Linked DNA regions of Drosophila melanogaster. The protein of the gene in region 2 interacts with the protein of the main gene of each other region in a pairwise test. Each region holds a gene or a part of one and is shown on either strand. Other genes may lie near its edges.

The links. Proteins that work in one complex are often made in the same cells at the same time.
Region 1: the proteins of CG6576 (region 2) and CG32264 interact in a two-hybrid assay, tested with the Drosophila melanogaster proteins (one large-scale study listed by BioGRID).

What each region holds. Positions count from the first base shown.
Region 1 is NT_037436.4:3,783,437-3,791,014, forward strand, and holds the start of CG32264 (uncharacterized protein), read right to left. Parts: upstream 4,525-7,578; 5' UTR 4,121-4,524; intron 1-4,120. Other genes in the region: CG32266 (uncharacterized protein), read left to right, coding at 7,408-7,419.
Region 2 is NT_037436.4:8,752,719-8,758,864, forward strand, and holds CG6576 (uncharacterized protein), read left to right. Parts: upstream 1-3,270; 5' UTR 3,271-3,464; coding exon 3,465-4,268; 3' UTR 4,269-4,449; downstream 4,450-6,146. Other genes in the region: Fhos (formin homology 2 domain containing), read left to right, coding at 1,757-1,777.

The DNA of each region.
Region 1 (7,578 bases), 5.0 Mb from region 2:
AGAACAGCGCTGGGCGAAATCTTGGCTAAGAGTAACTGTAACTAGGCTTTTGTGGTCCGCTGTCCGATGTTTTGTGGTTGTTTGAGTTGCTTGTTCCAGTGCACTGACTTTTGGCTCGTTAGCTTCGATTCTGTTTTGAGTCGGCAGTTAGTTAACTTTTTACTTTTTTTTTTATTATTATTTCGGTTTTGTGGATTTGGCGCGCGACTCGCATTAAAAAGGCGGCCAGGCGAAAACTGAAGAGGGCTCAGGAAGTGGCGTGGAAACGGGGGAGGGGTGTGGGGGGTTGAATGTTGAACATTTGTTGCTAAAGGCAGTGCAACAAAAAACACCACAAAAAATATATATAAAAGTCACCCATTTTGTTGAAAACATCACAGCTAACATAGAAAGTACTTTAATCAGATAAGTAAAATAAAATGTATTTTGAATTTCACGAATTTTCTATTTACTATGTATAAAATAACTAATTAAACTCATGTTCATGTGTAACTTTTTCGTCAGAGCGATGAATTCAACATACAACTTATTTTTTATGTCGACAGCATTTGTTTTAATGAACATCCATTGAAACGGGGTGCGAAAGAGACGGCGCCAGAAGAAAGAGAGGCGATTAAATTAGCAAATGCGTTGGCTGCAGCGGCGCGGGGATCAAGGGGGTGGTGGGCAGGGTGCAACATATTGCATATTGCACATTGCACATGTGGAACGACGCGGGCAACTTGCAACGTCAGCAGGCGCATATTAAAAAAAAAATATGAGGAAAAAGCTTCAACAAAGAGCGACTCTCCCCCTCTCGCTCGCTCGCAGTCTCCGTCTCTCTTCCACTCGCCTTGTGGCAAGTTCATTGAACCTCATTTACAGTTCAGTAGTTTAGCGATTTTATTCTCATGAGAAAGAGACGGCAGCAGCGTGGGCTAGAAAGAGATGCACCCACTGAGAGGGAGGCCCGACTTTTATTTTTGGGGCAACTCTGGCTTTGCAAAAAAAAATTTAAAACAAATCTTATAAAAGCACACAATGTTAAAGTATCGCAAAAAAATGTAGATTATTATTTTAATTATTCCTTTATTAAACTAGTATACTTAAATGATCCGAAAGAAGTCAAGAAATGCCTAAATGATAATGGTAATTTTGCAATTTAGTACTAGAAATGTAGTTCAAGTTATGGGAACATCCGGTTTAGGGAGTTTCGCCTGTAAAGCCAAACAATGGGCTGCGAAAAAAAAAAAATCGAAATAAATGTGAGACCAGAAAGGAAAGCGTTGGGAACCAAATAGTAACAAAAACTAATGCGATTTGCGGCAGCAACAAAAAAAAGCCTCTCGGATTCATGGATTTTTCGTTTGAGAGGCGCCGCCGCCAGCCAAAAGCAATCAAATCCAATTAAATGCGAAAAAAAATCCTGAAAAAAACGCACAGATAAAAACGGTGGAAGCAGAACTTTTGTGTACAACAAAAAATATTGTTTATGTAAAAGCAGCAGCGTAAAAAAAACAAAAATATACCAATAACAACTTCCAGCACACGCGACTTTAAACAACAAATTTGTCGAACGCCGCAAGAAAATTTCAATGAACGAAGGAAAGGGGGGCAGAGATGGAGGAAGTACGGAGGCAGCAACAAACAGAAAAGGCAACAAAAACCGAAACAGCAGCAATGGCAAAACCAACAACAATCAGCTCTTTTGACCAGCAGCTGTCGCACAGTGGGATGCACAGTGGGCAATTAGGGGTGGATTAGCTATCAGGTGCAGAAATGGTTTGTTTAAGCTACAGAAAAATTCCTTTTTAAATGCCAATCTGCTAATATTAAATTGGGAAAATATTGCGATTGTGCACAGTAATACCTCCAATTGTCATACAACCCATTCCACTGTGCCCATGCAGCACAGTCCACAAGCACAAGTGTTCGGGGTTGCTGCTAATGGAACGCAATTCACAATTCACTGGGAATTCGCTATCTCTGTCTGCAGCACCCCTCTTTGTCGCTCCCCAGTAGCTCCGTCTCTTTCCGACGTTGCAACGACAATGGCAGCAACAAAAGCAAAACAGCGGCAGACAGCAAAAACCAATGGACAAAAACACAAACAAAACGGTGGACAAGAGTCGTCATCCTCCGCTGTTTTTGTTGTTTCGGCAAAACTTCTTTATCCCGGAGAAGGGAAAGAGATGGGCATATGAAGGGAGAAAGAGAGGGTGACAGAACGTTCGCATAAATTTAAAATTGCGCGCAAACGGCGCCCACAAAGCCAAACACCACAGTATGCAATTATCTAAGGAATTTTTAGTAAACTACATGGTAAACTGACGGGGATTCCAAAAATTTTTTATTTTAGTTGCTCAGCATGGTCACACTGTGCATTTCGGTTGAGTCAGCTGACTATAACAGCTGATGCTCTACAGTAAACAAAGAATTTGGAATCTCGAAAAATGTCCTGTTGTTTATAATTACACAATATTTCAATTTGTGTTTAATAGCTGGGTAATCCCAGAATAAACTAAGTGTAGTTTTTGTCTTGACTTCTTTTCTTATGACAGCCTTAGTTTCAATTAGGCAAGCACCACTGTCCGAAAACAACAAGGAAAGGCAATAAAAGGGAGCAGAGAATGCGTTTTGGGGGTTGCTGGATGCTGCAAAGGGGGGTGCTTCACAAAAGGGCCTGCCACTGCTGTGGGTGTGGGGGGGGGTCGAAAGTCGTCGCAAAGTGGAGTAAACTGAAGTCTGGAGCACAACAAAAAGCAGTAAAGGCGGCGGCAGAGGAAAATCCTAGGAGAGGGTGCGAAATCTCGCAGTATACACACCACTACCAGACTTTTCCTATACACATCTATGTACATACATATACAAATGGGTGGCACAACAAAAAAACGGAAGAAAAGCGAAGGAATCTGTCTAGACAACATTGTAAGTAGATAAAAATATTTGGTCGGAAAAATCGGGCGAGGAAATAATGAAATATGTAATTTCCTACACCGTACACCCATCTCTTTCTTTCCCCGCCTATCACTACTACCACTATCTCTTTCCGGCAGGTAATACCTTTTTTGATAAGGAAGCAATTGTAGCACATTTCTCTGCTATTTTTTTCAATTGCACCATCATTAAAATTGTGTTACGGATAAGATAACACAAGTTGGCGCTATATTTTCTTCACATATTTCCCACTTTTCGTGTGAAAATTCCATTTAGCGAGGCAGCGTGCCCCGTACACGCTGAATGAATTAATTTATTCATATTCAACATATTTATGCATTTGTGTAAACAAAAAGCAGGTGCCCGAAATTACTGTAAAGCGGTTATTGTTTACGCAAATGTTTGAATTAAGGAAAGAGAGAGTGAGACAGGTAACTGCTTATTTTTTTGACTGGTTTATTGTTATTTTCTGTTTATACTATTTTTATGACCGCTCTTTCCGCTTTTTTCAAATTCTTTTGTTATTGATTTCACTTTTCTGGATGGTTTTTTAAATACTTGAGATACAGTGGAGCTTTAAAATGGATAACTATTTATTTAAACTTTCTAGCACTTCAAATGATATGAGCATATGAGTTAATTATCTAAAGTAATTTTTAAAAGTTGTTTTCTAAATTAAATAATATAATGATATGATCAGATAATAGCTTCCTTCTTTACTGAGCGTTCACTGTGATCGAATTCACATGAAAGTATTTTTTTTCTTTGCACCTTGCGTATTTTGTTTTGCATCACCTGTCGCAGCTGATTTTTCATTCACACTATTTGTTTATCTACGATTATTATTTTTTTAGCTGCTCGTTAGCTGGTGAAATTCCCATAGAAAATTCATTAAAACCCAGCAAAGGAATTTTAGTTTTAGTTTCTCAGAGAGAATTCGATTGTTCGCTGGTGTGAGTGTGAGTGTTTTGTATGTGTGTGTTTAGTGTGTGAAGAGAGAAGTTGTAAAACCGGATTTTCCTTTTGGGCGCTTTCGTAGTTTTGTTGCCTTTTGCACTTTGCCTCGATCTTCGATTTTTAATAGCCACTTAAATTCGATATTGGGCTGTTAAAAAGTTACAACAATTTTCCTTTCTGCATTTTCTCTGCTTTTATTTTCTTTTCTCTGCTCTTGCATTTTGCACATCACTTGCTTTGCACTTACACTTGTTGATTATTTAATGTGCAATATTTTTATTGCGTTTACTTGCACTTTTTCGTATTCTTTACTCTTCTCAGCTGCTTTTCACTAATAATTTATTTAAATCAAACTGAAGCACGCACACAGCTGCACGTAGTTACGCACACACACGCACGCATACACTAAAAACGCCAAACGACGCGCCGGAAAAAACAACAAAAAGAACAACAACGAAGAGAGCGGCGAAACAACAAAAATCAAACGTTTCAAAATTCTCTTTCGCTTTGCACCGCGAAATTAAATCAAATCGAAACTTAAAAGATTGCCAATGCGATTTTGACCTAATGTTTATTGTGTTTTTTTTCTATTTCGAAGCGAGCGCGACGCTGTTTTTCCGACTTTACGATCCCCAATTGGCGTTCGATGTGCGTTCGTCTGCTCTCAAAAAAATTGTGACAAAAAATTGTTTATATGCCGCAGTGTGGCCAGCTGCTTAGCGGCCGATAAGGCCGAATTTGCACCGTTTCGCGGCATTTGTCGGCAGCGCGGTCACACTCGAGAAGAGAGCGGCTGGAAATTCAAAATTTAATTTGGCGCCAAACTCGATTTTATATCTATTAATAAATTTCTTGATAACATATCGTATTTACACGTGGCTATATAAACAGCATCGAAATATTATTACAAAGATAATATAGTTGTATCTTTGTTTTTAATCGAAATGGTCAATCTTTTTCAATATGATAAATATTTGGTTAATCATTAAGTCATATAAATCAAATTAATAAACGACGTTGAATCAAGTGACGAGTGAACTTCGTCTGCCTTTCATTTCACATTCACAGCAGTTGATTATAGGAACTCAAATTGAATTAGATTTGCCCATTGATTTGCATTTCGCACCCACAAATTCCGCCACCCGATGATAATTGCCAATTTGGGTGGAAAGCCGCCTCCTCTGGCGAGCTGGAAAATGTCGAAAAACTATTGAAAATCAATTTGCATTCCGCACCAGAAACATCCAAATAATGCGATACTAATTCCCCTCTCGAAAACTTTAATACCTCAAAATCCAATGAGGCAATCGGCAAATGAAAATCTTTTCGAGGGAAGCGAAAGAAAAACAAGAAGCAACCGCACTTCAAAAGCAATTTCACCTTGTTTTTCCAAAAACAAATACACACTGAACCAAAATTCAATTCACTAAACAATGGCGCAAGGCAAATCTCTTTTCGGCCATATATAACTTTTCGGTAAGGAATTTCCCAAACTGCTCTTCAAGAATTTTCACGAGTGGTGGCGTCTCCTATTTTTAGGCCCACTACAAAAACACCCTACAGTGAGCGCTCGGAAAAGTGAACTTTTAGTATAATCTTATATATAATAATATATAGAAGAACTAAATGGTAGATTTTCCCAAATTTTACTTTGAATTTGATAAGGAGTTTGAATTATTTTCTAGTTAGTTATATTAAGTCAAGTAAGTATTTACCTCATATATAGTTACAAATATTTATATACATAGTAAATATGTATATTTATATATGGCAAGTACTATTTTTATAAAACAGGAAACGGAAGTATCTTTCGCTCTAGTTGAAAATATTTAATGAGAGCTAAATATATAAATACGAAAAGGGGGGCATGGCAGGGGGAAAACTCAGCGCTGGAATTTTGTTGTTGCTCCAGAAATGCCGGCAAATGAAAAGCGCAGGTCCGCAAATGAAAAACAGAATGGAAAATTCAAAGAGAGAAAATTTTCAGGGAGAGAGCACAACAATAGCAGTTTGAGAGGCGCCGCAAGTTTGCGAAGCACTGCTTCAAGCAGTGCAATATTTACTGTTTATCGCATGCGAGAAATTTCTCGCCGATGTTTTGTGTGACTCCAAAACTATACGAAGAAAATTAATTTTGTAAATGATCGTTCAAATATATTTACGAACTTAATATTTAAAGAGACAATTTATAAGATTCAAATATTATGTTTAAATGTTTTCATTATTTATGGATAAATAAATTGGAAATCATATTTGCACATTATATTTTTATAAACAAATGGAGTTTGTGCTTAACTCATTTATGGTATCCAACATCTTTGGTAATACTATTTTAAAATAGTATTGTGCTTTTGAGTTCTCCCAACAGTTCAGCGTTTTATTCAATCGTCAAGGAAAGTTTTCCACCCACCGGAATAAAATTCCACTTCATTCCGAGCGAACAATTCGTCTTCAATGTCAGTTTTTCCTCGATTTCCCCGCCCATTTTCCCCGAACTTCTTATCCTTCAGCAAAATTAACTTGAGAATCTTGATAAAAGGGCTGCCATTCATTCATTCAGCAGCTTTGCCGAAAACTGTTCTCAATGCCAGAAGCTGCCAACTTAATTTATATTGTATTTAAAATGCAAAATGCACAGCATTCAACAATGGGCGAGAGCAAAGAAAGTGGGCGCTCTTGGGAAAGTGGGCGGGGCACAGCTGAAAAGCTGCTAAAATTTAACAACTTGACAAATTGAATGTTTGTGGAGTGGGCAAAGCGTAACAGCAAAGAAGGCGCCAAACTGAAACAAAATTTCTATTTTCAATCTAAACACTAAAATTCTATTTTCACTTTTGATTAATTTAAAGCAAATGTTTCTATATCCTTGAGTATTATTCGTGATCAGACTATAAGTTTTGAGCAGTGTAAACACAATCAGCTGCATCTAAACAATAGGAACAGCAATGCAAAGGGCTAAGAAAAATGAGGCTCACATAGCCAAGTAGCCAAGGCAACCCGTTTCTCTGAGGTCTTCGCTGTGGAATTCCTCTTGGAATTTTCTATTTCGGAGCTGCGCAAGGAATCTCTGGCAGTCATAACGATAATTGACAATCTGGCCAACACAAATTAACATTGCCAGAGGTCAAATTGCATTTGCTCAGGGAATTTTTCTGATTGCTTCCGTTTTTATTTTTTATTTTTTTTCTCCAAAAACATCTAGCAAAAAACATACATAGGTAAACAAAAGCGCTATTAAGAATGCAGTGCACGCAGCGCAAAGCGGCCATAAAGACGTTTGGGCCAAATTAAAACGGGCCAGAAACGTAGTAGGAAAAAAAAACAATACTACAGCAAATGAGCAAACGTGCCAGGGTCAAGAGTGACCTCTAACCCACCGCCCACCGCCCCTTTTCGTGGGCCGCCCACCAAAGCCGATAGTGAAGCCAAAAGTCCACTTAGGTTTTACTATAAAAGCCAGGGCTTCTGCGTTTGTTTAATCATATCAGTTTCTGTTCAATCAGCGGATATACCACCAAAATCAATCAATTCAAGATGTTCAAGTTTGTGAGTATTTAAAGGGATATCAAGTAAATACCTATGAAGGATACAAGTATCTGACAAAAGTGAATTCTGAAATAATGCAATCAGAGGTTCTATTAAGCTCCTTTCAAGTCACAACATAAGATCTATTTGAATCTAAGGAGTTTTATTGTTGTGGCAGCT
Region 2 (6,146 bases):
CATACTTTTTGTGTCACTTGCTGGATACCCCATGCTCCCCGCCCTCGATTAGTATCCCACTCATCGATTAGTCAGCGATGCCAAAAATAATTAAATAAAATTATTCGACTTATAATAGACCGAAATAGCTACGACGGAATGAAGCAGCCTAAATAGATGTCGAATATTTTAGAGTTGCATTTTGTTAGCATTACAAGAATTTTTACGCATTTCCTTACATTGCGATAATTGAAATCGAGAAGCTGGCACATATAGCCGGTTGGCCGATTTATGTCAGATATATATGGGGACCAGATACACACGGGAATAAGAAACGATGAATCAATGAAGACACGAAGCCTTAAATGCTCTTTGTTATGACTATGGTTTTCTTTGTGGCCAAAAGTTGCACAATGTATTTCGAACTCTTGTAAAACTTAATTTCAAATGCTCTAAGTAGTTAATTTTAGAAATACATATTATTTCGTTAATTTACTTTTAGTTCTATTGTAATAATTAGGTTGTTTTGTTATATTTTATATTTTACTTGTCCGTTTAGCACGACCCAGAAAAATGCTTGTCCGTTCAAGAGAGAATCGGAATGAATTGTCCGTACAAAGGATCTGTCGAAATCCTTAAAGTTATGCTGGAACTAATAATGATACCCTCATTCAGGGTATGTTTAAAACATTTATTTGTTTCTCGATTGCAATTTACGAATGCGATCGCCGACTGAGGAGAGCCGGCAGAATCTCCGAGAGCTTCATCTCCGATCGAATCTCTCGCTTGCCGAAAATACACGCATACTCAAAGCGAGAGCGCCGGAGATTTTCCTCCACTCAGCTTTTCACGCAATTCGGTGCGAGGGAAAATCTCGGCACAAAAATATTTTCACTGCGGCCAGACAGTTTTCCTTTGACAACGCGCCGAGTCGCACATGATTTTCCTCTCGGCCGGATTCGCTGTGGTCCAACAAAAAGAACCGAGAACTAAAAACAAAAATCGCGACACAATCTTTCAGCGAGTGTGTGAATGTTGCTAAATTTATAAATAACAGCTTAAGTTGTGCTGCTCCCAAAGTAAATTGAAATAAAAGCAAAAGTGATACGCGTCCGTCGTCGTGAAACGGAAAACGCAGGCGATGGAAAATGGGAAAATAGGAAAAAATAAGAAAAATAAGAAAAATATCAACGCATAAATAAAGCGCGAGCCTCGCGTCCGATTCTGTCGCATTCGCCGGCTGCATTCCCAAATAGATCGGGGCGCTATAGTCTATATCTGCTCGTATGCCCTATAGGCATCGACAGTATATATCCCAAACCTGCCCGGTGCGTGCCGGTGGATTATGTAAAGTGACACACGGCCGATCCCGATACCGATCTCGGAGTATCGCCCAGCGCAAATAAAAGCAAAGGAAATAATAGTTTACTTAGCAGAAAAGAAATAAATACAATAAAATAAAATTGAATAAAATAGGGGAATGCAGAGAGAGTGTCGTAGAAATTTGTCGCACGCGCGCGATTTCAGTAAGTGCATCTAATTTATTTTGCATCTATTGCAATTGAGAGTCGGCATCCGGCAGATACGTTTTCGTAATTGTCGTCAGCGGTTCGAGTTCCTCCGTTTCGATCTCGCGCGAGTGTTTGCCAGATTGGATTACCAAACCCAGGCCATACCAAAATAAATTATACACCAATTTTGAAAGGGCGATAAACATACATTGTGACCGAATTTTGATCCGATCTGCGATCGAGGATCGCTTGCCAAGAGCAACGTAATGTCGTCCTACCGCAGTTATGTAAGTACTAGTTAATGCAGCGCCAACTATCCGTATCTGTATCTGCATAATACCTACTCGTACTATATAGTGTGTATCTCGATCTTTGTATCTTCGCTCTGTGCCTTTTTGCAATTCTTCGCATCCACGGATTTTGTTTATTTCTAATTTGTTGCCTTACCCCACACACAAGAGTATTTCGCAGATACATACGTATACGTTTTATATGGCAGATAAAATGTATCTGAATGTTCGCTCTCGATGTGGTGTGGGCTCCAGATCCATTGATAAACAATTTAGATACAAATTTGCTCATTGTCTGGTTTTTTGGTTGGGATTTGTGTCTAGTTGATTGTTCTAATTTCCTATCCACACAAATAGCACAAATTATGGCCGAGGTGTGGCTACTGAATGAACGAATTGTTGTGTTTGAATAGCAAACCAATGCATGAATAAATGGCTTTTACTTTGGCAAAGCAGGTTAAGTTCCGAATTTTAAACCTATTTAACTTGATTTATGTTAGTATTTGCGTATATGCACAGTTGTCAAAGGAATTAATTTTGAGTTATTTGACATACTTTATGGCAGATTCATTATTGATACTGACCAATGACTGACAGTTCCCAAGTAAACATTTTGTGTTATTTATTGAACTTATCATCATATTTATTTATATTATTAACCCGTTCGACATCATGTGATACTTGTGAACTTTTATATAAAAAGTGCATTATTTCTATATCTATCCTATAATATAAATACACTTAATTTCGGTTGTCATTCCCAAACTTCCAAATCGCTTTCTACTAATCCCCTTTATGTTCAACTCATTATATCCTTTTGTTCCCAGGCATCCAGTTTATGACTTTAGCCTGACTTTTGACTCATTGAGCATAAATCAATTAAATATTTTTCGGGTCTTAGAATCTAATAAACTGATCAATTTATGGGCGGCAAACAACAAGTTTCCACCCCATCCCACGCACATCTACCACTTCATCTTCTCCCGAGTCATTTCTCCAATTATATATAGAATGTTTCTAAAAATGTTGGGAGTAAAGCAAAATGATTTCTGTTTCGTTCACGTTGACGCAGTCTCTTTTTTCCTCATTGGAGTTGGTACTTTGTGTAGGATTTTTATGGCCAGAAGGAAGTTGTAAATATTTATGACAAGCATAAAGTTGAAAGTTCTCCGGTGAGAGCACGCACCACCTAATTAATTAACAAAGTGTGAATACTCATGCAATTTGTTTGTGAGGGGAGAAAGTAGGGGAACGGTAATGGAGAAACAATAAAGTTGCAAATATAACTAAAGCTTTTAACTTCATATTCAAAAAAAATAAGTATATATTATCATATAACTAAATTTATATTCATAATGTATTAGCGAAAGCGGTAATGATTAAACATTGTTTCGATTATTGATTTCATTAGAAATATCTCTACTCGTCACACACAATGCGATCACAATCAGTTTTCATTTGAATTATTCATCAAAACAGATCAAAATTTGTTGTAGTGTAGCACAAAGGAAGGCGGTGATAGGCGCTTCTCAAATAGGCTTCGAGATAAGGATTTATGAATCAAGCTATCTGAGTCCGAGATTATCCACGCACACTCACCCGTCCACCCAACTGCCACCCAAGCCCCCCACAACACTCGAACACAGACACAAGTCAAGGACATTTTTTGATAAAAAGATAAAAAATGACACGGCGTCGACGTCCACGATGTAAGGTGAATCCCTCGATAGCGCTGAGAAAGAAGAAACAGGAGACTGCACCCAGTGCAGAAAAGGTAGAGCCACAACGTCCACCGCCCTTGCCGGATCCGCCCAGCGAAGAGCCACCGGAAGTCGTCAGCACTTCGAGCGTAGAATCTGAAATCGAATCGGATTACAAACTCTTCCCGGAACTCTACGATCGCCAGCCGTCGATGCCCACGTTTGCTGATCTTTTTGGTCAGCCCTCTTATGAATCAGTGTTGCAGGAGCCCGAGGTGGCATCTACCTCCTCCTCAACGAACACAAATGCCGCGGGAATACGTAGTACAGACGATGGGAAATTCACTAATATTCCGGCCACGATGCTGTCAGATCAATTTGGGATCATTGGGCTGCTGGCCGCCATGAGGACTACGCAAACGGATCCGGGCGCCACGCAGCTGGTCTTTGGTGAGGATCTAACCACCTACGGACTAGATTTGGCTGCCCAGGGAGACATTTATGTGCATTTCAATGGGCCTCTAACCCGCGAACCACCTGACAGAAATTCCATGGACTGCGCCCTTGAGATGGGAATGCGTGCCATGCGTGATTCGATTATCAATGAACCACCGAAGGCTCCGTGTTGGGATCCATTTGAGCCAGAGACCCAAGATCTGGGACTTGTGGGCAGTCTTGAACCGGATGAGTTTACGAAATCCGATCCAGATACGGAAACGGATCCACCGCCAACTACTGATTTGACTGAAGATCCGGAAACGGATCGAGATGATAATCAGTATAGATAACACATTTGGAATCGGCGCCAAGGATAAAAAAGAAAGACTAGTCCCAAATAGAATAGCAATTTGGCAGTTGGTTAGATCTTTGAATACTTGGTAAAATTGTTGATCTTCGTGAATTGGTAGCCCTTCTGTATAAGAACTTGTTTGGCTTTAAATATAGAATTGGCTGAGGAGTAAAAACGGGAATAATTATTTGTTACGAAAAAAAGTGCGATTTAGTTATTTAAAATAAGGTTCGATTTAGTACATATATGTAAATATCGAAAAAAATTAATAAACATTCGGAAAATATCGAAAATGAATAAGCTCGGAATTGATTATAACTCATAAATTGGTTATAATCACTATAATTTTCAGATTAACTAATTTAATTTGTTTGGAAATTTATGTTTGAACGACTTTCTGGGGTTGAATATTTCATTATCCTTTTAAGCGCCGATCTCCACATAGTTGAGTTTCCCGAAACGCATTTTCGACACTTTCGTCAGAGCAAACTACAATAGAAAACGTATTTAAAAATAAATCATTTGTCTGGCAAGCGAATATTCAGTCGCCACTTCGAATCATCTGGGGTCACAGTCTAAATACTTTGTGAGTGGATGGCTTTCCTGGTCGTTCTTAATGGGCTGTGGCTACTGACAGACAGGCGCATTATAGCGCATCCTGCTCCTGATCTGCAGACTCCGAGATTCTGCAATCTCCTAATTGAGACCGCATAATAATGCTGTCAGAAGTGCAGCACTCCGCTGGAATCGGCGGTGAACAAAGTACACATGGCGAAGTCATTCCAGAGAAGATCCATAGGCCCATCCACATCCACACCATCACGATCCTCCACTCTTTTTCTCCTCCGGCTGAGTGTCTCCGTTTGCTTGTTTTGCACATTGTTGGCTATTTGTGTGTTTGGCATTCCATTTCACTGAGCGAAAACAATTAGCCGAGACTGTCTGTCTTTCTTTCTTCCTCACTCCCTCTCGCTCGCTCGCCAATTCTTCACATTGGGCGGGCGCCTGGAAATGTAATAATATTATTTTTTATTCCCGGATAGTTGTCATTCGCCGGGATGGGAGCCACTTGGGAAGAGCCCCCTATTTGAAGTGATTTACATCGAGAAATTCCTGAAAAGTATTTTCATGGGCGAATTCCACTACAGTCATGGTAGTTCATATAGGGCTAAGCTAAGTGGGATTCGATTAAGTTTCATCAATGAATACACAATAATTTATAATTTAGTTTAGCACATTTGCTGTAAGTATTGGGTTCAACAGCATTTTATCTCGTCATTAAATGTAATTTGCAATAATTAACCCAAAACGTTTGAGTTTGCCAAAAATCTGAAAACTGGCAACACGAATTTTGCAATTTTAAATGGGTGTCTGATCCTCAAAGATGTAGTGCACAAAAACCGCCAACCCACAGCCCCCCACAAACCAACCGGCCATCCTCAATTAGGAAAGGGCAAAGTGGTCGGGGCCCCCGCAATTTTCATTATATACGAGGAAAACTCAACGTGTGTCTCGATGGACGAGGGCAATCGTCTAATGCGCTGCGGCCGAGATTAGAAGGCAGATGTTGAAATAATCGAAATGAATCTGTTTACACGTCCAAATTAATTGAAAAGCGCGTGCAACAGCGCCATTTAATTGAAAATGAAATAGACTCGGCAGAAATCCCAAACCGAATCGGATGAAAAATGCATTGGGCGAGTTCAAAGAGGCACCAGTCCCAACCACAAATAGTCCATTGGGGGAATATGGGGGATATGGGCTATGCGCTATAAGATTCTTTGGCATTCAATGTTGGCGATGTGCTGAGGTTGCTGCTGATGTGCCTCTGTGGCTGACGATGATGAAATGCGTGCGAATAATTGTCGAGTGCACA